Linked DNA regions of Arabidopsis thaliana. The protein of the gene in region 2 purifies or fractionates together with the protein of the main gene of each other region. This does not show direct contact. Each region holds a gene or a part of one and is shown on either strand. Other genes may lie near its edges.

The links.
Region 1: the proteins of TPLATE (region 2) and AT5G57460 fractionate together in Arabidopsis thaliana (co-fractionation; one large-scale study listed by BioGRID). This does not show direct contact.
Region 3: the proteins of TPLATE (region 2) and AT5G24710 fractionate together in Arabidopsis thaliana (co-fractionation; one large-scale study listed by BioGRID). This does not show direct contact.

The regions. Positions count from the first base shown.
Region 1 is NC_003076.8:23,271,706-23,279,034, forward strand, and holds AT5G57460 (muniscin carboxy-terminal mu-like domain protein), read left to right. Parts: upstream 1-3,404; 5' UTR 3,405-3,615; coding exon 3,616-5,556; 3' UTR 5,557-5,783; downstream 5,784-7,329. Other genes in the region: GS1 (Haloacid dehalogenase-like hydrolase (HAD) superfamily protein), read right to left, coding at 19-98, 199-346, 449-509, 619-843, 1,117-1,195; XRCC3 (homolog of X-ray repair cross complementing 3 (XRCC3)), read right to left, coding at 2,303-3,217.
Region 2 is NC_003074.8:275,872-285,641, reverse strand, and holds TPLATE (ARM repeat superfamily protein), read right to left. Parts: upstream 6,761-9,770; 5' UTR 6,472-6,760; coding exon 5,338-6,471; intron 5,234-5,337; coding exon 4,637-5,233; intron 4,469-4,636; coding exon 4,107-4,468; intron 4,019-4,106; coding exon 3,715-4,018; intron 3,613-3,714; coding exon 3,490-3,612; intron 3,333-3,489; coding exon 2,883-3,332; intron 2,804-2,882; coding exon 2,243-2,803; 3' UTR 1,991-2,242; downstream 1-1,990. Other genes in the region: AT3G01790 (Ribosomal protein L13 family protein), read left to right, coding at 59-106, 448-519, 721-887, 1,002-1,113, 1,544-1,762; BET10 (bromodomain and extraterminal domain protein 10), read left to right, coding at 7,256-8,335, 8,413-8,461, 8,548-8,631, 9,057-9,140, 9,224-9,339, 9,424-9,490, 9,588-9,709. UniProt on the Arabidopsis thaliana protein: Functions in vesicle-trafficking events required for site-specific cell wall modifications during pollen germination and for anchoring of the cell plate to the mother wall at the correct cortical position.
Region 3 is NC_003076.8:8,464,308-8,471,747, forward strand, and holds the start of AT5G24710 (Transducin/WD40 repeat-like superfamily protein), read right to left. Parts: upstream 3,867-7,440; 5' UTR 3,614-3,866; coding exon 3,482-3,613; intron 3,397-3,481; coding exon 3,312-3,396; intron 3,231-3,311; coding exon 3,191-3,230; intron 3,101-3,190; coding exon 2,852-3,100; intron 2,537-2,851; coding exon 2,437-2,536; intron 2,325-2,436; coding exon 2,250-2,324; intron 1,672-2,249; coding exon 1,573-1,671; intron 1,176-1,572; coding exon 1,059-1,175; intron 978-1,058; coding exon 862-977; intron 775-861; coding exon 675-774; intron 19-674; coding exon 1-18. Other genes in the region: AT5G24740 (vacuolar protein sorting-associated protein, putative (DUF1162)), read right to left, coding at 5,766-6,457, 6,590-6,659, 6,815-6,919, 7,003-7,113, 7,210-7,440.

The DNA.
Region 1 (7,329 bases), on a different chromosome or scaffold from region 2:
GAAGAGAAACCCACTTACATTCCGGCGTTTTTAGCAGCAAGAACTCCAGATGGAGCATCTTCAAACACCAGAACCTTTTGTGAATCCACAGGACCGTCCTAAGGAATCCAGACGAAGAGGAAACATTAGTCTACAACTCATTTTAAATATGAACTAGTTAGTAATGGAGAATCTTGGAGACTGTTGCCTGTTAGTTACCTTAAATCTCCTAGCAGCAGCGAGAAACCCGTCAGGAGCAGGCTTTCCTTGCTTCACCTCTGGATCATCACCACGAACTACGTGATGCATCAATGAGAAAAGCTCTCTGTGTCTTTGGGTTTTCAGATCATAATGCCGTGTGTGAGTACTGCAAGCGTACAATCAAACATAACAAGTCAGTTTCTGGATTGTAAAGGACAATGAGAATGCAAACTAAATGGTATATTATGAGATGAGGTGAAGAGATTACCCGGTAGCAATACATATTGGAATATTCTTTACATGGAGATGCTTAATGAGTCTACTAGCCCCTGAAAATGTGGAAGAGAATTGGTTCATGACCACATCAAAAACATAAATATCCGTACATGTAATCTTCCTGTGAACCAAATGTCATGTGTTACAAAAAGCAGAATCTACCTGGCATGAGCTCACTAGTAGGGAAAAGGTCTTGCAACATTGACTCTCTCTCGACAAGAAAGTCCTCAGCTGAAAGAGAGTCGCTAATCCCGCTTTCTTCAACAAAGATCCTGGCAGCTTCTATTGCTTTTCTACCCATCATTTTAGCCTTGAGAGACCAATCAAACTTTTTATTGAACCTAGCAAGTATAATCTCTTGGACCTCAGTGTAAAACTTCTCAGTATCTGCAACAGAAACCAAATCAGCATGAATGTATGCAGCAAGAGCAGATAAGCCAATGAAGTTGTGAGATTTTGAATACACAGAACAAAAACTCAATCGCTCGATTTCCGATCAGATTCAAGCTAATTGCTTTAGCATCTTAACATCAATTGTATGAAATCAATCCTGGAAACTAAACAGTCACTACTAAAAAAACCATCAAATCTAAACAACGATAGTGACAGTAGTACGATCTAATAAAGCTGGAGATTGAAGATCAGATGCAAGGAGATTACCGAGAAGAAGACCGTCCATGTCGAATATGACGTGAGTGATTGATCCTCTGCCGGCGGTGACGGCTGCAGGATTCGACATTGTTGATTCGATACCGATAACGACGAACCGAATCCAGTTTCAGTCGGAAGTTAGTTTTTACGCTGGAGAGTGATGTCACTATGACGTATAACAAAAGGTTCATGGGCCGTATCTTGTAAATGGGCCGGTTCACATAGAGAGTAGAAGTTTTGCTCATAGTGAAGAGTGCTAATAAGAGATGTTGAAACTTATACATTGGAACTAAATATGTTTAGTCTTCTTCTATACAAAATAAAAGTGAAGATTCGTATACAGAGCTTTTGTTAATCCAAAGACCAACAACGGCCAAAAAATTTTTCCTCTTGTAGAGCTCCGTCGTGTCCTTCAGATGATTCAATGGTTGTTTTTAGCAACAGCCTTAGGCGGAATCTCTCATTCTTGTATACATCAGAGGCTGAATTGATCCTCTCGAACTGCAGTTGATTCCTCTGCCACTGAATAACCACGGAAAAATAGAAAACAATCGAAGTGTTAAAGATCTTTTAGCTACAAGTAATCTGTTTTAACTCCATTTGCTTACCAATAGGACAATGAAGTATGTTAACTAGATTAATTACTTATGGCACTTATGAAGGCATGCATCATCATATTTTGTGGTTTCAGTCATTTTCTGGTTAGAATCGAGAAATTAGCTACAGAGTTCAAGTGAAAATAAATACAAAAACCATATCCACCAGGATGATCAACACTACCTATTCATAAAGATATTACGGCCAGATATAAAGATCACATCAGCAATTTACTCAACAAATGAAACGATTTGAAGATAGCAACCAAGTGGGAAATTTTCGACTTCGTGCAAATTCAATGATGCAAAGAAAAGAGAATCAGAGAACAAAGTGAGAAGCTTGCAGTAGACTTAGGAGCTAACAGGAATCTTTTAAAAAGCTTTATTATGAATAATTGAACATAGAATGCTTATAAACTAAAAACAAGCACATATCACATCTAACCAAGAGGAGGAATCCGAAAAAATAAACCTGGCTTTGCTGCAACCCATCTCCGGATCCTTCTGCAATGTACATAAATAATGGCTAATGAACAAATACTCCAAAAAATCCGGTGATGCTTCGAACAAAAACTATCCTACATAGCACCCGAGTTCACCTACGCTTGAACCGCACAAATCCCCTCTCGTGTGATCATGAACTCGCAAGAACTCCCAGGCAAATAAGGTGAAAACACTATGTCAAGCCGTCTCTTAGCACTTCTGGACACAGAACTTGAACAATTCTCGTCCTTTTCACTTCTATCTTTAACAATACTACCATCACTTCGTGAAATAAAAAATCTGGAATTCACACAATTAGCCCAAGCCAAGCCTAAAGAAGGAACAACTCGTCTTCCAGACGAATACAAATACCTCAAATTCCCAATCCTCAGCCCACTTAACCCATCAGAAGTTTCAACCAAATCCGTAACCTGATTCGTAATCACAATAGCCAAATCAAACTTGCTAGCCAACTGCTTCAATTTCCCAGATATCTTGAAAAACAAAGAAGATCTCTTCTTAAGATCAGACGGAGTATTATCAAACTCCGATCTAAACAATGCCGCTACAGAATCAAGCACAATCAACTTCAACGGAAACCTAGTTTTCGAATTCCCAACAAACCCATCTATCCTAGGCATTATGTCGAACAGGTGGTCTACAGAATGGACATTTTGTACAAACACATGATCACAAGGATTATCATTGTAATTCGCGTAAATACTAGGGTTTGATTGATGAAACGTGTGCGAGAGCTGATGGAGACGACGAAACGGAAATGGGAACTCTGAATGGAGATAAAGAGAAGAACCGTTGAGTCCGCCGTGTGAAATCGGAAGTTGGGTACAGAGCGAAAGCTGAAGGCAGAGCTGTGTCTTTCCGCAGCCACTCTCCGCAACGATTTCGGTTAAAGAATCGCAGGAAATTCCGCCGCGAAGACATCCGTCGAGGATTTCACAGCCTGTGGTTAGTTTACGATTCGTCGGCGATCGTCGGAGGAGATTCTCCGGCTTAATTTTCCCATTTTGCATTTCACCGCCAAAAGCTACCAATTAAAAAAAAATCGCAAAAGTTATAAGCGCTACAAAATTTAAAAAGACCTAATCGCGTTAAACGACATCGTTTTATCATATTATTGGGCTTCTTACCTTGACATTAGGCCCAATAAGTTAAGAATAAACGTCTACTATTGGGCTTATTTTCAAACCATCGCATTAGGTCCATGCAGGTAGGATACGAGTAATGAAACAAACGACGTCGTTTTCGAAAGAAACAACGAAGATCTCATTTCTCTTTCTCCTTTTCTTCTCCGACGATTCTTCTCAGTTCTCAGATCTGATCGATTTCTTCATCAGATGTTTCAATCTAACCATTGAGATTGAATAGTCACCATTAGTAGAAGCTTCGAGATCAATTTCGAATCGGGATCATGTCGTGTTTAGCCCTAGCTCTGCAACCAGCAAATGGATCCGACATTTTGCTCCAAACTAGAGAATGGTTTCCACCAGCAAGAGCCTTAATCGCTCTCTCGTATTTTCGTCAAATGCGTCAAGCATTAGCGTCCTCGAAGCAGCAGCATCAGCAACAATCGAATCAGAAACAGAATCAAGCTTCTTCTTCTTCTTCTTCTTCTTCCTCCGTTGCGGATCCTGACGATGCCACGGCGGCGGAGTTTGTAGGTGATGATCCACTCGCTGCTTCTAATGGACAGGTTATTGTTGGTGTTGAGAGCAAGTATCGTGTAGTTTATAGATTAGTGAACTCGATCTATATCCTTGGTGTTACTGTCGCGGATCATGATAATTCGATCAATGTATTTGAGTGTATTCATATTGTGAATCAAGCTGTTAGTGTTATTGTTACTGCTTGTCGTGGAGTTGAAGTTACTCCGGAGAAGCTTGGACGGAAGTATGCTGAGGTTTATATGGCGCTTGATATTGTTTTGCGTGGTGTTAGTAATATCCGTCTTGCGGCGATGCTTGGTGCTATGCACGGAGATGGGATTGCGAAGATGGTTCATTCGGCTCTTGATACTGAGAATAAGATCCGAGGAGCTGATAGTTGGATGGCTGTTGAATCGCATGCGGCAGAGCATCAAGCTTCTGTAAACGCATTTTCTAATGCAAGATTTGAATTGCCTCCGGAGACTGTTGCCGCTGGAGATGAGTTCGCGGCGAGCTTGGCTCCAGTGGTGCCTGAATCAGAGCAATTGAAGGAAGAACCAGAGCCGGAGAATAAGGATCCTTTTGCGGCTAGTGAAACGATTAACAAGGAGAAAGAACTTGTGGGTGGATTCAAGAAGACTAAGGATCCGTCCTCAACGGATTTGACTTTGGCATTGGCTGGACTTGAAGTGACGACATTACCTCCAGCCGAGGCAACACAGTCTACGCACATCAATGTGGAAGGATTCGAAGGGCAGTATGGTGGGATTGAGTTCAGCAATGAACAGGCTACGATTGGAGAAACTTTTGAATCGTTTAGTGATGCTTGGGGAGGTGGGTTGGATCCTTCAGAGTTTATGGGACCAAAGAAGATTCAGAAGAAGGAAGGACTCGGTGGGCTTGAGCTGTTGCACACCAGTGATCCGAAAGCAGTGGAAGGCAAAGATGGAGTTAATATCGATAACCTAGTTAAGAAGCCTGAGATGAAAGGTCCTGAAATGTATATCTCTGAGGAAATTAGAACCGAGTTTAGAGAATCCTTGCTTGCTAGAGTAGGAGTAATGGGTGTGATCTATCTGAAAACGATGCCACCCAAAGGCTCTGGTGAAGAGAAAGAAACTGAGTTCTCATTCCGTGTTGAGGGTACTACTGCAGTTAAGAGATTTGCTATGCAGAGTTCTCGGATCAGTAGCTTAGGGAACGGTTTGTTTCACGTGAGAACTGCTCCATCAGAAGAACCAATCCCTATCCTTAAATATAGCTTGCAACCTAAACTAACCCCGTTGCCTCTTAGAGTCCGAATGGTGAAACGAATCAGCGGGACTTTACTCTCACTTATGATACAATACGTCTCAAATCCGGATCTACCTCAGCCTCTGAAAAACGTCGACTTTATCCTAAAACTCCCGGTTGATCCCACATTGCTTAAGGTTTCGCCTAAAGCAATACTGAACAGAACCGATCGAGAACTGAAATGGCAAATTCCGGAGATTCCTCTGAATGGAAGTCCCGGGAGACTAAGAGCACGGATGCCTATCGATTCAGATAACAGCGAGGAAGAACCAGATATCATCTGCTATGTGAAATTCTCGGTACAGGGAAATACTTCTCTGTCTGGTATCAGTCTACGTGCAGCTGCTGAGGGAAATACAGATTTCTTTGAGGTAGATCACAGGTACGAAACCGGAGTCTATATGTGCAATTGATAAAAGTTTCTCTCTAAAAGATTTACATTGTTTATAATTTTCTCTAATGTTCTTGAGTTTGGCCTTTGTTGAGAGTTATTCTTTTTTTTGGTATGTGTCATGTAAGGTTTTGTGTACTTGTGTATCTTGACCTCTCTTCATTGTTATGTTATCTGTTTTACTCGATTTGCTTTTACATTTTTATATTATTGAAATGCGGATTACAAAATTTAAGTTTATCAAATATACTTTGCAAAATGGTAAAGTGGAAGATTCTCCTAATTGTTGTGATGAAAGTATCAAAATAATTGTGGTGGTTGTTGAAGTACAAAGGCTATTATTATGTAAAGACAATCACAAACATTTTGAAATTGTTGATCTCTAAATATCATATTACATTATACATAACAAACTTAAGACAGTAAAAAGTATAGATGTTTTGATTGATCAGAACATGTAATATAGTCTTGAGTACTAAGGTTGATATAGTGTCATAATCTAGTGCCCGTTTGCAAGTTGTCGCAATTTTTTTTGATGTAAAATAGTGCATGCAATGACCTATTTTTTAGTGACATTAACAATAACCACTATGGTTCTAGTATCATCTCCCTCGAATAAGGCCTTAACCCCATTAAAGATTTACACTATGGTTTTAGTATGATCTCATCTCCCTAGTATACAACACATTTTGTGTAGCTTTACTATACATCATGTTTATTTTAAAAAGTGGGATTGATTCCACATGATTCTTAACATATAGTCATATAGATCTTGCTCCTGTCAATTACATGATGCATTAAAAAAAATCAGCTGAGTATATTAACAATTACGAAAAATACTAATCTCACATCATACCAGCGCGCCGAATTAAATCCATAGAACATGTCATTCTTAGGTCAATTATCCACTATGACATTTCTTTATTTAAAATGATAATGTCATGTGGGTATTAAGCACCAAGTACAATCCATTCCTAACTACGGGTTACAAAATTAAAATATCAATAATAATTTACATATTTGTCTCTTATTTGTAGAGTGACATGTCTAGTTGTCCAGATTTAATATAATAAACTAGTTGATTAATAGCAATTGCTTGTAAATTACTCAAAAAGTAAGCAGAAGCTGTGGGATCCTAAACACAAACCTCTAAAGAGATGATGAAAAAAGAGATATTGATCAACTTGGCCTACCAAATCGTCAACTTTAAGTCTTTAACACTTCACATTTGATTAATAAAACATATAATTTGAGTGTTCATTGACATATAAGAACGTATTATATTGCAAGCTAAGGGATGAATTCTCAACCCCAACCGGCCATACCTAATATATGACAGCTCTATTTATCACTACACAAAAAGGACCAATTATTTGTTTGGTTTTACACCTATTATAACAATCACTATATTACATAAAATGGCGAGTACATGCTATACACGAAGGTCAGTTGGAGCAAGATGTCTGAAAACATTTTTAAGTATTCATTATTCAATAATGTCTTGACTCGAGAATCATGTGTCTTCACTCTTCAATAATAATCCATAGTTTTATCCGTCTTGTTTATATGCAAAACAATAGTAGCCACTGTATTTTCAGTATTTTAGTAGATGAGATTAGGTGTTTGGGTTATTAGCCTCTTTAAGACTGGATAACTTATGCATTAAAATTATTAAAAGTTTTAATTGCTTCCAAACCTTCTACAATAAACATATCACCATCCCACCCAAACACCTGGTATATGTGTATAGGCAAAATACTAGTATTTAAATATTAACATGCTATTGACTAACACA
Region 2 (9,770 bases):
TGAAATCACATTCTCAGTTTTGTTTTTTGTTTTTTGTCTAACAAACAGCTGAAGAACGATGGCGACTCAGGCTGCTGCTGCTGCCTCATTCAAGGGCAACTTAAAGGTATAAAATGATTACTTCTTCCTTCCATATCTCCAGCTTTTTGATCAGTTTTAGCCAAATCACCTTAGATTACTATCAACCAGTGAGCGATTCCCACGTTTAGGTCTTCTTCTACGTGTTATGCATTTTCTACTTAAAATCATTTGGAACAATGATCACTTCCCATTGCATCTATTCTCCATTACGGTCAGAGAGTGTCACACCTATGCTATGCAATTTAGAAATTGAGTAGATGCTACAAACTTATTCGAAAATGGACCCCTTTCTATTATTAAAAAAAAACTTCCAATCTACTCTTTGTATTATGTTTTGTTGCTGATCTTGAGTATGTCTTTGTGCAGAAAGCTGTGGCAGGTATAAAGCGTATCAATCTCGACGGTCTTCGTTGGCGTGTTTTTGATGCCAGAGGCCAGGTTTTCTTTCTTCTACCTCTCTTCCAATCTACTCTCTCTTTCTTCTACCACTTTCTTCTTCTTATGCTTGGTTAGTTACATGACTACAGTGGCAAACATTTCCAGATTTTAGATAGGATGCCTTATCTTTGTTGTGTCTTTGTATTAAATCTGAATTGAATTGCTAGGATTTCATTTGTGAATATAACTTGTCTACTCTAGGTTCTTGGTAGACTAGCTTCCCAGATATCAACCGTGCTTCAAGCCAAAGATAAGCCTACTTATTGTCCTAACCGCGACGATGGCGATATTTGTATTGTTCTCAATGCTAAGGAAATCGGCTTCACAGGAAGAAAGCTCACTGACAAATTCTACCGTTGGCATACTGGGCAAGTTGCACTCTTTCTTTTAATGCTCCTGTGAATCTTCAGCTACTACAAGTGTTTTATCATATCTTTTAGTATCTCCCATTTTCATCTACTTTATTTAATCTCTCTTTGTAGGTACATCGGACACCTGAAGGAACGGAGTCTGAAAGATCAGATGGCCAAAGATCCCACAGAGGTCATTCGTAAGGCTGTCTGGCGCATGCTTCCAAGTAACAATTTGCGTGATGTGAGTACACTATAAACTGAAACATTTTCTAATCACCTGAATCCTCAGTCTTTTAGATCCCTGACTTTCTGGCTACAGATATTACCCCACACCTTGGCTTTACTCTTACTTGTTGATATCCATCATGAGTTGTGTGGAATGAGATTCTTGGTGTCCTATGTCTAGAAAGGTTGTCTCTCCTCACAAATCGGTCTTATCGAATGAGATGATATACCCTTGTTTTGAAAATCATTTAGGTTTGGAAGGAAGATTGTTCTGAACTCTTGGTTTTACCATTTTGTTATTTGTCCTTTATCTTTGGTGGGAATAGTGGCTTGTTTGTACTGATACATTCTCGCTTCTCAGCTCCTAAATGAATTGCTCGCATAGTTTAGGATGTGTTGCTTAAAACAAGAATGTGCTGAGGTTTTGTTGCTTTGTGTGGGTATAGGACAGGGATCGGAAGCTGAGGATATTTGAAGGCGGTGAGCATCCTTTTGGGGACAAGCCACTTGAGCCATTTGTGATGCCGCCTCGTAGAGTTAGAGAGATGCGACCGCGCGCAAGGCGAGCAATGATCCGTGCGCAGAAGAAGGCAGAGCAGGCAGAAAATGAGGGAACAGAGGTAAAGAAAGGAAAGAAGAGGACCCTCTCTGAAGTACCTGCGTAGAGGAATTACTTCAGAGGAAAGCTAGTGATGTGACTGTCTTTTTATTTGTAAGCAAAGTTCATAATGCAGACGTGGATAAGCTTTTAAGGCTTTCTTGTTTCTCAGACAATAAACCTGTTTCTGGATCTCAAACACTGTATCACAAATGAAGCCAAAACCATCTTCCTTAAACATGGATCTGTTTCTGGTTATCTTTCAGTTTTCTTCGTTGCAAAAAACAGAGCAATCTCACGCCAAACACTGCATGACTACAGAATGTTACTGATGGAAAATGGGTAAATGCATCCTTGGTTCCATAAACGTGTGAAATTTGTGAATAAGACGGAAGAATTCGTAAAAAAGGGCAATAGTAACATCCTTGGTTTGTTTCTTTTCTTCACCAACAACAATACAAAACATCTAAACCTACGAAGAAACCACACACAACAAAAGAAAACAAAGATTGTTGTAGCTTCATCTGAGAAAAAAGTACTCTCGCTCTTAGTTAACTTTGGTATATTTTCTATCTTTGCACAAGATGTGCCATTCTTGGAGCACTGCTGCCTGAAGCGCCATGTGCTCTGTTTCTTCTGCTGTCAGCTTAGAAAATGTTCCTTTTTCCTTCTCTTTTTTCTTCTTCTCTTCCTTGTCCTTTCCCTCTTCTTTCTCCTTTTTCTCTTTTACTTCTTCATCATCATCTTCTTCTTCTCCTTCTTCTTCTTCTTCGTTTTCTGATTCCTCCTCTATCTTTGAAGTCTTCTTCGGCTGAGCTGCCTTCAACAAAGCTATCCTCTCCATAGAGATCTTCAGCTTCTCGGCCGCGGTTGCCTTCACTTCGTCCTCTGGCATGTACTCAACGCCCCCGTCAGTTAGATCATCACACCATCCCTGAATATCCGACTCTATTTGCTTTGTGATTGATGCTTCTGATGCTCTAACCACAAACTTGCACATCATGGTGGTAGTCTCGTCACCCAGATCCATGTTCCTGCTCACTTCACTAGCGCCAAAGATCATCATACCCACAAAACCTCCATGCCACGTTTTTGCAGCGTAACAAAGCTGTAGTGACATCAAGTTAGGGGTTTATCAGACCATCAATCCAGTTAAGGAACAAGAAGAATAACAGAACCAAGTTCACCTGAAAGCCAGCAACTGTGCGTATAATGTGGGAACAGACTCTGTGGAATGGCTTCGAGGATAATGATTTGAGTCCGCTTAAAAATGGTGAAGCCCCATACTGTTGTGCGGCGGTCGCCATGAAGCCGCTTCCTTCATACATATATGTGCCAGTGTACTCTGCAACAGCTGGCAAGCTAGGCCACAAACGAAAGAACTCGACTGGTGAGATTTTGTGCGGTAGAAGAAGCTCAGTCAGTGGGATCTTGTAAGGCTGACATCTTAAGATCACAGGCTCTCCGAGTTCTGCTTTTGAACCTCTCTTCTGCTTCATGATCTGTGGATCCTCTTCTATGTAGTCACCGTCATATTCTCCCCTAGCACCACGGAATGGATAGTAGAGGACTTGAACCCAGAAACCACATCTTTCAAATTGGGACACACCAACGGTGACACTGCATTGTACAGGATCCTACAAAAGTAAATCACAGAGTCCATGATAATACAGCTAACATATACGAAACTGATTGATTGGTAAGAACAGAAACGGTTTCCAACTGACAAGACTTAAGAAATTAGAGAACTGTAAAGAGATGGGAGTATATAAGCACTGAAGAATGACATGCAACCTGTGAGACAAGATTACGCAACTGCCGCACTGCTTGAGGAGAGCCATCCATGAAGTATAGGGCACCAGATAATCCAACCCGTATATCCACACGATTCAGTTCAAGTTCTGTCAAATTAATAATCTGAAAGGTAACATAAAGTATAAGGTGTTGAGACGCTAAAACTTTATCCACTAAAACTGTATTCAAGTAACTGCAGGATGATACAGTAGAATATATACCAACCTTCAAGTGCAAAGTGACCCTTCCATCATTTGTATCTGCTAAATGGTAAGCTTCTATATAGCAAGGATCACTGCTTCCGGTCAAAGGATATGCTGTGGGAGGAACCTTGATAGAAGTTGAGTCGACCCCTTTTGTAAGGAAGAGAGTTAATTCAGTGGGCTTTGGCCTCCAAAGCTCGAGAATGGCCTTGTGAATTAGACCTTCTAATTTCCTGTCTTGAGCAGCTGATGGTTCGTAAAACTGAACAGTAAGCTTATGGTGGCTAAACGGGTAATCTCCTCTTGTCTCACTAACTCCAGCCCACCTGGAAAATAATAGGTTGTCTGAGTTCCAATCCAGAAATGCAGTAAAACTCACATAATAAAAGGATTACAAGCCAAGGGAAAGCTCACTTTCTTTCAGGAAGATTTGAAACATATTTGATCCTCTGCAATATTAAACGGGTTTGATGTTTGCTAACTGTATCTGCAGCAGCATGGTTCCTATACTCTTCAAGCTCTTTGGTTAATAACTGGCCAGCTCTTGCATGACGCGATCCCATCCTCTGGGCGCATAATAAGACTGCCTGAACATCTTGTAGCCTATTCGATGTAGTAGCAGCGGCATCCAAGTTGAAGAGAACCTTATGTATGTTTGCTATGATAATATTCAATGGATCATCGGGGTCATCAGCTAAAAGTGGATCTAGACCTTCTAGATCAATATGTTCTGCGATTGTCCATATAAGACGCCCGAGGATTCTTGGGGTATTTACCTGCCAAATTGAGATCAAGATTTTTATAAGACATTGACCACGTTTCAGTCCACAAGCAATAGTTCTCCTCCACATTTAGTATTAAATAGTACTTAAGAAAGCCTAACTAAAATTCTTCGAGGAAAATTGCCAAGGGTTACTTCTAACTTTCAGCTGAGGCTTAATTACCTCTTGGAGATCCTTAACAAGCTCACGTTGCAAGTTCTGCAATCGTGTCTCATTTAATATTTGATCCTGGGAAGCACCATCTTTCAGCCTCTTCACTCCTCCACGGGTATCATAGATATGGCACAGCCTAACAAGCAATTTCAAATAGCAATCTACAGCGTACGTCCTGCCATCACAATCCCATTTGACACAAGGCCTACAAACTTCCACAACCTCAAGGGCTGGTTCTGTCCAGTTCAGAGCACCATAACCAGTACCATATGCTAACGCACCAATCACTCTGCTCTCCATACCCGAGTTTTTTTGTTCAGGCAAAGGTAGAGACAACTGGAAGCAGCTTTCCACAAGCATTGCCACCAGCTCTTCCCGAAATAAGCTCTTACTGGTAACACTATTGAGATCATCTTTAATCCTTGCATCTTCAAAGAGAGAAATAATATCTGTCCCAGGCAGAGGCTTCTGACCTCTTCGGGCACTTTCTCTGGCAAAAAGGTGAACACAGAGAGCTGTCCGACAGATACAGGCTAATGCGTGCATCCTGTCCGATTCTGCTCTCAAGTTTCTCACCATAAGCAGCAGTCTTCTAAACAACGAAACCTTCGTAACAAATTCCAAAAAGAATGATTCAGAAATCATAGGCCACAGCTTCAAGACAAAGGTACACAACTAACCGAGCTTAAATGAAGTAAAAAACGACATACCTGCATATGCAGATCAAGCAAGTGCAGGTTCGTAACAACGGCCCTGACTATACTCTCTCTAGCAGAGGAAAATTCTTGGCGGTCCCAGAGTGTTAAAATTGCAATAATGGACTGTGAAGCCCACTCTGGCTTGCCTCCGGCAACATCTGCCAGGTAGAGCATGTTAATTCCCACTTCAAAAATCAAAGCTGGATCCAAAGAGGAAGCCAAGAATGGCGCCAAATGGGTAACCAAATCTGAGACGCCAACCAGCTTCTCGGCGTTGGAGTCCACAACGGTGGCATTAGCTGCAGCAGCAGCAGAGGAAGCCTTGGAAAGCTGTCTAATCACTTCGACACTACCGGAAGCAACAGCTTTGACAGCAAAGACAAGAGGGAAAACAGTGGCTCTGAAGGTTTCGACAGGAAGGACTAAAGACCTAGCCATCAAAGCGCTCCTCTTTCTCCATACAATGTCAACCATGGAAGAGACCCACTTGGACCTGATGGCGAGGGAGTTCTCGCTGTCAACGAGCTTATCGCCAGCAAGACGGCTCATCCGCTTGGAGTCGAACTCCTGGAAGAGTCTGCCGACGGACTCAAAGGCAACCTTGGAGACGGCGTCGGATTTGTCGAGCATGTTCTGGCCGATCCGAGCCCACCAGTTGGAGACCTTGTCGAGGAGACCCACATTGTTCTCGCACAAAGTAACGAGATCATCACGCGCGAGGATGCAGCCAAGTGTCTCGGTGATGGAAAAACGAAGGTTGTCAGATGGAGAATCGAAGCAGGAAGCAATCTCAGAGCTGCAATCAGAGATGAGTTTAGGAAGCGAGAAGGCAGGGAGAGCCGCAAGGATGGAGACGGCAGCGGCGGTAACATCCGGGTCCGGAAAATGAAGATCCGTTTTGACACCTGAGCAAACGGTGTCCCAAAGATCCGGAGTGAGGCGGGTAGATCGGATGAGATCGAATGCCAGCTTCTTACAAACAGCTGAAGCCGGAGAAGCAACAATCTCCTCCACAGCAGACTTAGCGATCACAGAGATATCTCTTCCGGCGGCGGATTGCTGCAGCGCCTGAAGAAGCGCCGATGACTGGCGAAGCGCGTCATTTGAACGGAGGTCCGCCTGGATCTGAGCAAAAAGAATGTCCATAACCGGATCGAATTAACTGAAATTCGAGATCCAAAATCTGAGCTAACTAGCTTCGCTGTCAATCTGTGTACGTATGCGACATGGAACTGGAAGAAGAAGGATGTGTAAATCAAACCATCAATTGAAGAAGAAGGAGAAGAAATTGTTTTCGAAGGAAAAAAGCGCGTGCCGTTCCTGCGATTCGAGCTTTCACAGCGTGCCGTGTTGAGTCATCCGTAGACCCAATAAAGGCACATTAAAAAGTTCATTGGGCTTTACATTATAAGCCCAGGATATTATTTTTATGCACCGAAGTATTTGCATTCGATTTTAATTCGAGGGATCAGATCCGACGGTCCAGATTGAGTCCTGCCCAGTAGCAAAACGGCGTTAGACGCAGCATTCGTTAGGGACGGGACACTAGAGAAGGGAGGGCAGAGAGCGATTTTGTTCTCTCTCTACTTCTCGGTCGTCTTCTTCGTCTCCACTCTAGGGTTTTACTCTATCTTCTTCTTCATCATCATCTTCTACACCAATCTCTAGCGTTAATCTGTTTCTGCTGGAGAAGATTTACGCTTGTTCCTCGGTTCTCTTACTTCTGCTCCGGTTCGATCGCTTGCTAAGTGTTTCGAGTTGGTTAGTTCCGAATTTCCTTTTTTATGCATATTGAGTGTTCACTGCTCTCCTCCAGCAATACTATAGGGCTCTAAGAATTGAATTGCTTTCAGGTTTTCATAGTTAGGGTTTCTCAAAACTGACTTAAATATTTTGATTTGTGCAGGTTCGCACTTCGGTGGGCGATATCATGACTGTGAGGAACGGTGGTTTCCCAGGAGATTATAATCGTAACAGTTTTGACTCTCCCGGCGGCTGTGATGATAGCCCCAATGCTTCCAAGGATGATGAAACTTTTGGTGTCCCGAGAATAGTTTTACCCTTGTCTGACTTGTCATCATCAGAAAGGAGAAAGTGGATTCATACGCTTCGTCAGGAGCTGGAACAACTACGGTCCTTTCAGAAGAGTGTTGGGGACCTTCTTCCTATATCTAAGATTGTTACTAGTACACCTGCAAGTAATGTGTCTCGCCCCAAGAGTTTTGGAATGTCACGATGCTCTACTGGCCCTGGAAAAAGGGTGCTCCCCTTCACAGCAACCAAACCAGAGCCAGTCACCACTTCCACTATGCTTCGGATGAAGCAATGTGAGAGCCTCCTTAAACGATTGATGTCGCAGCAGCATTGTTGGCTCTTTAATACCCCTGTGGACGTCGTCAAGCTCAACATTCCTGATTATTTCACCATTATCAAACATCCTATGGATTTAGGAACTGTTAAAAGCAAGTTAACTTCCGGCACGTATTCAAGCCCTTCAGAGTTTTCTGCTGATGTCCGTCTTACTTTCCGCAATGCTATGACTTATAACCCGTCAGATAATAATGTGTATCGCTTCGCTGATACTCTCAGCAAGTTTTTTGAAGTGAGATGGAAAACTATCGAGAAGAAGTCATCCGGAACCAAATCTGAACCAAGTAACTTGGCTACTCTTGCTCACAAAGATATTGCGATACCTGAGCCTGTGGCTAAGAAGAGAAAGATGAATGCTGTGAAACGTAACAGCCTCTTAGAGCCTGCTAAGCGGGTTATGACAGATGAGGATAGAGTAAAGCTTGGCAGAGATTTGGGGTCCTTGACAGAATTCCCTGTACAGATAATAAATTTCCTGAGAGATCACAGCTCCAAGGAAGAGAGATCTGGAGATGATGAGATAGAGATTGACATCAATGATCTCAGTCATGATGCCTTGTTCCAGTTGCGGGATCTCTTTGATGAGTTTCTGCGAGAAAATCAAAAGAAAGATTCAAACGGTGAACCCTGTGTGTTAGAGGTAATCACCTTTCTATATCTCATTCTTGATCCATTTGTTAACATGACTGATAAACAGCGAAAACTTTCTTGATGTAGCTTTTACATGGGTCAGGGCCAGGAAATTCATTGACGCAACACTGTGATGGTTAGCATACACTGGTTTTGTTGTTTGAGCTAATTCGCATGTCCTACTCTATGATTAAGCTGTCATTTCCTCCTCGTTACTTGCAGGGAGTGAATTGGAGGACGAGGATGTTGACATTGGTAATTATGAGCACCCTATATCTCACATCTCAACTGTCAGAACAGAAAAAGGTATGGCGTTAGAGAACTACAGTGGTTTGTTTAATCTTGCTACATTGTATTTGTCTTTTTCTCTATGGAGCTTTTGCAGACGTTTGATGTTTGCAATTCTTATATGTACTTAACCCTCGGAACCATTTTACTTCCCTCTTGTCAGAAGTGGCCGTCCATCTAGAATACTCAATGTTACTTCTGTAGTTTTTTTGGAGTGAAACTTACTGACCTTACTGATAGCAACTCATATTACACACCTAGTATGATAGTGATAGACCTGTTACATTTTCTGCTTGTTTTACTCCCAGGTCGCTGTTTGCTATTTTCTATAGTGATCATATTATCTCTAATCAGTGATTACTCCTCTTTTGGTGCAAAAGATGTTAAGTTTTGTTGATATTAATTAATAAACCTTGGTTTTCTTATTCCCTTTCTAAAAGCAGATTCCGTCGGTGGATTGAATCAGATGGAAGATGCATCCAGAGGGAAGCTAAGTCTTATTGAGGGGGCAGATGGTCATCAAGATGGTAAGCTCAGAAGTGTAGCAGAAAAATATCTGTGCTCTAATATCTGAGGGTGGCATCTCACTCTTGACCCATTAATAATTTAGGAAATAGTGCTCCAAAAGAGAAGGAACTACCTCCAGAAAAGCGTTACAGGGCTGCTCTATTGAAAAATCGATTTGCGGATATAATCTTGAAGGCTCAAGAGATAACTCTTAATCAGGTTAGCTGTGTTTGTGGAGGTGTGAGCTGTTATATCTGGTTAGCCCTCCCTCTTTGACTTTCAAAATTATATTTGTGAGATCAGAATGAGAAACGAGACCCAGAGACACTGCAACGTGAGAAGGAAGAACTGGAATTGCAAAAGAAGAAAGGTATTCTTGATTTGCTAGTTTCGATTTTTTGATTGATGATATATACCAAGTAGTATATACGTACATAAACTTGTCCTCTTATTGTTTTGTGCACCAGAAAAAGCACGGTTACAAGCAGAAGCCAAGGAAGCTGAAGAAGCTCGTAGAAAAGCTGAGGCACAAGAGGCTAAGAGGAAACTGGAACTTGAAAGAGAAGCAGCCCGGCAGGCATTGCTTGAGGTAAATCAAAATTGCTGCCTTGTACCAGTTTGGTTTTATAAACTGCAATACATGTATATTG
Region 3 (7,440 bases), on a different chromosome or scaffold from region 2:
TGCAACCATACAATAGACCTAAAAAATGGAAATTAATAAGTACCTGATGAGGGTTACTACCAATGTATGGAAGCCATGAAAGCGAAAGAAGTACAGAAGCAATGCTATTATAATTATGCAATAAAGAAACTAGCAATCTTTGAAAATCATCAACTGGCGGTTTCAAGTAGAAAATGAACCCCGAATATTATCTGCAAATTCTGAAAAAGGAATAACTTTCAACTTTCGGGTGCAGCATGTGCTTTCCCTATCACCATCTGACATAAAGATTACGTATCTTCTCCATTGCAATTTTCTTTTAGATAAATTTAGTGTTCAAACAGCTATCAATTTAAAGTCTGCTATATACAAAACTTTTCTGCAAGAAGTAATACAAACAGTTGTATTCTATTCTTATTCTTATTCCTAGTCTACTTGAGTCAGAATACCTTTGCATTGCCAAGTGCAATATTATACAGCTACACAACTTCATCATTTGAACCATAATAGATGCATTTTACGAGATAAGAAGAGAAACTAATGTTTTGTGGGACACATAGAATGGAGCCTCAGAGAGCAATGCTCATGCTCAGGCTTGAGCATGAGCTATTGATATAGTATACAACTAGCAGGCAGAAAGAAATGATATGATACGTGGTAGATTTCGAGGATTTCATCAACAATGAGCTAATTACCCTAAGTTTTCTGTGGGTTGCAAGTACTTGAGGCGGAACCAAGGAAGAAAGTTCACATAACGGCCTTGTCAGGGCCGAATAAGTTGGATGCTCAATAGACCTGCAAAAATTCAAACAATTAGACCACTCATCTAATATACATAAATATATTCTACCATATACAATACCAAATCTTAAACAAAGATACCATATGTGTGAATCTTTAACGCAAGTCAAAATATCAAGGTTTGGCGCTCGAGGGTGACACCAAGATGCAACACTGTGGCAAGCTAGTTTCGGGACAGGTTTAATTCTACGTAGCTCCTGTAGAATAAAAGTAGATATGCATGTTAATAAATGAGATCGGGAAAATATGAAAAATCCATACATGAGATACACCATTACCTTAAATGTCATTGTATCCCATATGGCCAATGTCTTGTCAGCCCCAATTGTAATCAATTGTGGAGCACTCCCACTTACCCTTGACAGCTCAACAGCCACCACCCCACCATCATGTGCCTAATACAATCAGAACAAAAACATTAGAAGAAGCCAAGAAGGGATTAGGAAAAAAAAAAAAAAAAAGTATAACAGAGAAGTGGAAATTATCCACTCAATTAAGCAAACATGACCATGTCTATTACACCAAAAAAAAAAAAAAAGCACGAGCATGTCATAGTCCCCTAATCATTACTCAGCCTTTTATAAAAAGAATGAAAGAATATCTAAATGCAAGTATCCAACATTCAGAAACAGACACAGAAATCAATTCAGAAGGTTCACTGGAACTAAGAACAATGGTGCCTTAGCCTCAGCTGTAACCAAATCTGGCAAATCTTTCCAGGCCTAAGAATTGAACGGTCATGGTAATATCCTCTCTTGAACTTTGAATGAAAGAGTGGGCATAATTGAGTACCTTTAAGCTAAGCTTGGGTACAAGTTCCCTTGAGTCAGCGCCATGATCGGCACTCCACAGTACAAGTAAGCCATCACTGCCACCTGAAACAAGGAGTGCCTGCAATTGCATTTAGATAGAGGATGGCTAGTATCATGTATTGCACATAAATAACAGAGAGAAAATACTTGATAAGCATTCATTAAAAAACGTCAAGTTATATAAAAGGGAAGAAAGCCCAGTACTATCAGAAATTCGCTATTAACATAACCTAAACAAGCAATTGGGAAAAGAGATGCCAATGTTTAAAATTCCCGCCGCTCCTAATGCCTAGGCTATGCATGAAATTTAACCCGAGTACAGATGATCTAAGAAACTAAGGCTAGATATTTGGATTGTAAAACAGGTATCCGTATAGTAAGGCCTGCTGCGGTCTGGACTCCCACTTAGTAGAATGTGAGATTTTTACGTCGCTAAGAAGAAAGAGATATATGTAGGAAACTTCCAAGACGATATGCTCAAGACCTCGTTTTCATATAATATATACAGTCGATCTTAGTAGGTGATCTTGAGTATGTTTTTCTAAGTTACATGACACTTTCATCTATCAGATGGTATTAACTATTAACATATTAAGTAAATAACTCGAAATAAATTCAGAGCAATAAAGAGGGCATATATAGGGAATATGTAGTTACTTCGCCAGATGATGCCATGAAATTCATCAAGCAATAAATGGATCCTTTATGGCCACCTGTATATCGACGTGCAAGCTGCAAGGAAGTAAACATTCAAGGAAATTAACACAGATCAGTATCAAAATCCCTCACTCTAAACCCAGCAGAGAAACCAAAAAAAAAAAATATAATTTTGAAACAAACAAACCTTCCATGTTATCATTGATAAAACCCGAATGACACCATCAGTTGAACCAAATGCAACTAAAGGGCCATCACCACCAGATGATCTCGAAAGAAACTCCATGCTGCAAAGAAAGGAAGAATTCTAGCAACATTAAGGAGGAGTAGAAATTAAAAATGTAGAAAGGGAGTTTGGCCATTGACTGAACATTAAACATCAAGGAAGCCTGGTATCCATTACACTTAGAACACACATATCCATTACACTTATGCCTAGTCTACATTTGACTCAAATATTTCCAGCGTAGTAACTAACGGAGGTCTTTCCAGGATTCAAGTGATTTAAAGATAGGAAGCCTAAAGTAATGGAGCATCTTCCCCGGGGTCCAGGTGTCAAGCAAACCCATATCCTAAAATTAGAGAAAAAGCAATGAACTTACCAGAGAAGTGACTTGTTATCAAGCTCTTGCTTTGGCACATCACGACCACGCATTGTCACCAAATCCAAGAAAATAGCTTTATTCTCACAACAAATGACCAGAAAATGACGGCCTTTAGTCGATGGAGCAGGGGAAGTGAAAGCAGATGTCAGATGATTGACAGCTGATGGAGATTCAGCAGCTGCGGAGCGGTTGCGCCACAGTTGCCAATAACGCACATCATCGTCATAAAACTTCACCTGCTTAACGCTAGTAGGTGCAAACATTGAGCAGATAAGTCATTTTTCTCATTATCGAAAGGAGCAACTGAATTAGCAGCGAGAAAGATCTATCTACTACCTTCCTCCTCGAATGGCTTCAGTAGGCTTAGCTTTATAGTCTGAGGAAAATACGAATGTCAGTAAGAACATAAAGCATCAGAAACTCATACTCATTTCACCAGAATAGAACAATGGCTCACCGGATTCTCCTTCGGCGAGCTTCTCTAACTTGGCACCAACTAAACGGCGCTCGTCAACTCCGCCGGCTTTCAATTCATAAATTACCTAACACAATAGACATAAACGTTGACAGATCCACGATTCGAAATCAGAACCGGAACCAAAATCAAATCAGAATCTCGATACAGACCTGACGATGCTCCCAATTCCAGACGGAGACGTGATCTGAATCATCAGCCGTAACAAGCCATGGATGCGTAGGATGTACCTGTATCTTCACAATCTTACCATTGGTCTGCCGAAATGCTCTCGCCCGCAACATTTCGATCTCTCTCTCTCTCTCTCACAGTTCTTCAAGATCAATTAGACAACTCAAAAATCTGAGCACAACTGCATCCGCATAGACGATTCGACTCACGAGAAACTCTCCAGAGCTACACACTAAAAATTTCCAGAAAAAGCAAGCAGGGCTATGGTCAGATCCAGATCAATTAGATCCACCGCGGTTATCAAATGAAATGCCCGGATCCACCACCACTAACTACAATCGCCGAACAAAAACTCCGGTAGTGTCTTCAGACGCGAAACGCGTAAAGCGCGAATTTGCGAAGGCTAGTCTGATTAACCCAAAAAAAAAGGCCCAATAACAATTGTTTTAGCCCTTTCCTTTGTCGCAAAATATATTCCATTTACGGAAATTAATTGTGGATCCGTTGGATCACTGAACTTTTTTTTTTCTTGTTCATAAGTTTCTTTTTTATTCAAATTATGGGTTTACAAACATCACTAAAGCCCAGTCATCAAAGTATTTCACAAATCCATAAAGGGTACAACTAAACACCTTGTAGTAAAGAGTACAGCGCTAATAAAACAAGTCAAAGCAACATACGACACGTGGATGTGACTTTTCTCTTACGCCGATGATTGTTTCATCGTTATCTCCCAGCACCACCATCAAATCCGATAACCCACCATTTCCTCTACGACAATCTCATCACGCTTGTAAATCTGACTCTCTGCTCCACAATATCCAGAGTTTATATTTGATCTAAATTTCTCCAGAACAGCAACGATCTATGACAAAAGAGAAATAAAAAACCATGATTTCTCTTGATGATTAAATCTTACCAGATATGCCGAATTGAGATTCTAAATCAAAGGATTGAGAGAATCGATTTAGGTTGAAACAAACTCTAATAGTTGATTAAAACCCAAAAGGTAAAGATTAGAAATGAAACAAAGATTGACTTTCATCTAAATAAGGATGCAAAAAAGCTTGAGAAAAGAGGATGATAAGGAAAACCCAAAAAAAAATTGGTACTAAGATCACAATGATTATTGAAAAGCAGAAAGGTAAAACCGGTATCAAAGAACTGGAAACTAAAGCCGGATTCCACTAAAGAGAAAAGTAGAAACCAGACGGCGAGATAAGACGGCAAAGCCGGACCACGTCCGGATACAAAAGCCAGCCACCACCACTAAAGAAGCCAATTGATGCTGGAAACGAACCAACCATCGTCGTTAAAGAAGCCGAACGATGTTGGACGGAGTCTTGCCATGAATCGCTTTTTCTTTCTCTGAAAAATTCAAGTGAGAGAAGAGAGAGAAAATCGAGAAGCCTCCGATCACTAAACTTTTAAAGAGAATTCCAAATGAATTATCTCAAACAAAATGACTATAGTATTTGGTGTAATAAGGGTTTACTATGTTTACAACTAAATCTAGAATTCGATAAAAAGATTTGCAATCAAAATTAAAGTCTTATTTAATCTTCAATTTAATTTAATTTTTTCTTTACAGGTTTCATTGAAGTTTACTCAATACACTTCGATTTTTTGTTTTTCCCGTCTAAACTTGTTTTCCTCATACACTTATAGAAGATCTTAACTTAATAAAGAACAATAAAATCAACGCCGCTTGTCTTCTTCAATGCGAGTGTAACCACATCGGACTTCCACGAGCTAAATATGATCTGCATCGACCTTCTCTCATTACGCTTGTGGCTATATCTCGTGCGATGAAACCTTAAATACGATCTTATCAAAATTCGGGAGAAACCAATGAATCCTATCAAGATAAGATAAATACGTGGCCAATCTAATGGGTCACTAATGGCTTCCATAGGAGCACCATAGTCGGACCAAATCTCAATATTATAGAAGTGTAGATCACATAGACTGTGTAGTACCCATAATATCCCTCTCAACTCCGCAGCAATACGATTTGATGTTGGTAAAAACATTTCTCCCGCATGAAAAACAGCATCACCATGATGATGCCACATATATGAGCATCATGATGATGCCTGACAATCCATGTACAATACACTTCGATTTATTACGCTTTTTTTTTAAAAAAAATTTTATAGCCAAAACATGTCAGACCATATATTCTAAAACTAGTTTCATAAAGCCACTTTTGTACACAAAGAAAATTAAAGAATTACTGTATTCTTATGTACGCAAGTCTCCGGTTTAAGTGATGTTACTTCGACTTAAAACAAATCGACTGTGCCAGCTCCGGCTTTTCCCAGTTTCAATAGTCGATAACAACACACTCAACAAGTCCTCTGCTTCTTCCTCCGATGGAAACTCTAAGTTAGTCTGAAGAAGCGGCTGTGCTGAAGGATTGTTCCATCGTTTTTTGGTCGGGCTGCTCTTCTTTTGCTGGTCCTGTCTCCAGTTCCATACACCATCTGAATTGCTTCCTATGATGCGGACTACTCCACCGCTGCAATCTGTATGTATTACACTCTCCAAACCGATTTCTCTTTCGATATTCCATACCAAATCTATTGGAACTCCGAGAAATCCCTGTTTTCTGAAATCTACCAAGCTCAGGCTGCTTAGAACCAATACCAGTCTCCCTGTGATTACAACGAAAGCTCCTTCTTGTTTCAGGGCTTTGCACTTCACCAGCTTCTCGCCCTTGAACTTCAGGGAATCTCCAACCTCCATAAGTACTGCTGTCCCGACCGCTTCTTCCCATGAGTAAGGCCTGAGAGGTTGTTCTCTACTCAGAGGCCTCGGAAGACGAAGCCTATGCCTTTGGGATCTTATGTTATGAATCCTGCTTCGGTTTCTTATACTCTGTGCGGTTTTTCCAGTTACCTCAAGGATACTAGCGGTTGGTCTGGCCACAAGTCCAGTAATCCCCATGGCCACTCCTGAACCATATATAGGCACCCAGTTAACATGCATAAAATTAGAAAGCCAGAAACAAAAGGACAGCGTGTACACGAACATCAAATGTCTTGAATGTCTATAGATGACTTGAGCGGTGGTTCTCGCTTAAATACCTGAGATAACGCCTGGAAGACCATGTTTCTCAGCTCCTCTTATTGGTGATTGAAGGAGACCAGTGAGTCCCTGTGATGAACATCGTGTCAGCTGGCATGCTTAAATTCTTTATGCAAGTTCAGAAGAATTTGACAGAAGTCACTGACTTCAAGTAACTTTCAAGACTAAGTGAACATCAAATCAGTATATAAGACATACTTCCAAAGAAAGTGCAAATAACATACCTCAAACACTTCACCTATAACTCCTTTGCTACGCGATCCTTCACCCAATTGCTGCTTCTCCATCCTTGCAACATCATGGTCATTGAATGTAAATGCAACAATACCCTGCAACGAATTGGTAATTCTGTAAATATTTCTTGAAGGAGGCGTCTACACCATAGATTTTTAAGCAAACAGATGCATCGTACCTTGTGTGCAGCTTTACTAAATTGAGTGGCAGCATCACTTAAAGCATAAATAGTGCTACTGAAGAGACTTGTGGTTCCGTGAGCCATTCCTTGAATAATTCCTGCTGGGCTCTGTTCAAGTAATCTAGGTTAGCATATAAGTTAAAAGTGACTAAACCAGACATTACATGAAAATGTTAAGCAACAAAAAGAGATTTTAATCATAACCTTTGAGATACTCCTGCTGGGAGCTGACAGGAAATCTTTAATTCCAAATGCAACATTCCTCGCAAACCCCATGGGATTTCCAATAACACCAGCAGAGCCGAAAACCTGTGTTATAGTACATTGCAGAAATACGTCCAGCAGGTATATAGGGAATAGTATGAGTGCTCTAGGAAATAAAAACACTAAGTGAAAAAGTGACATTTTACCAGTTCTTACCTTGTAAATCTCATG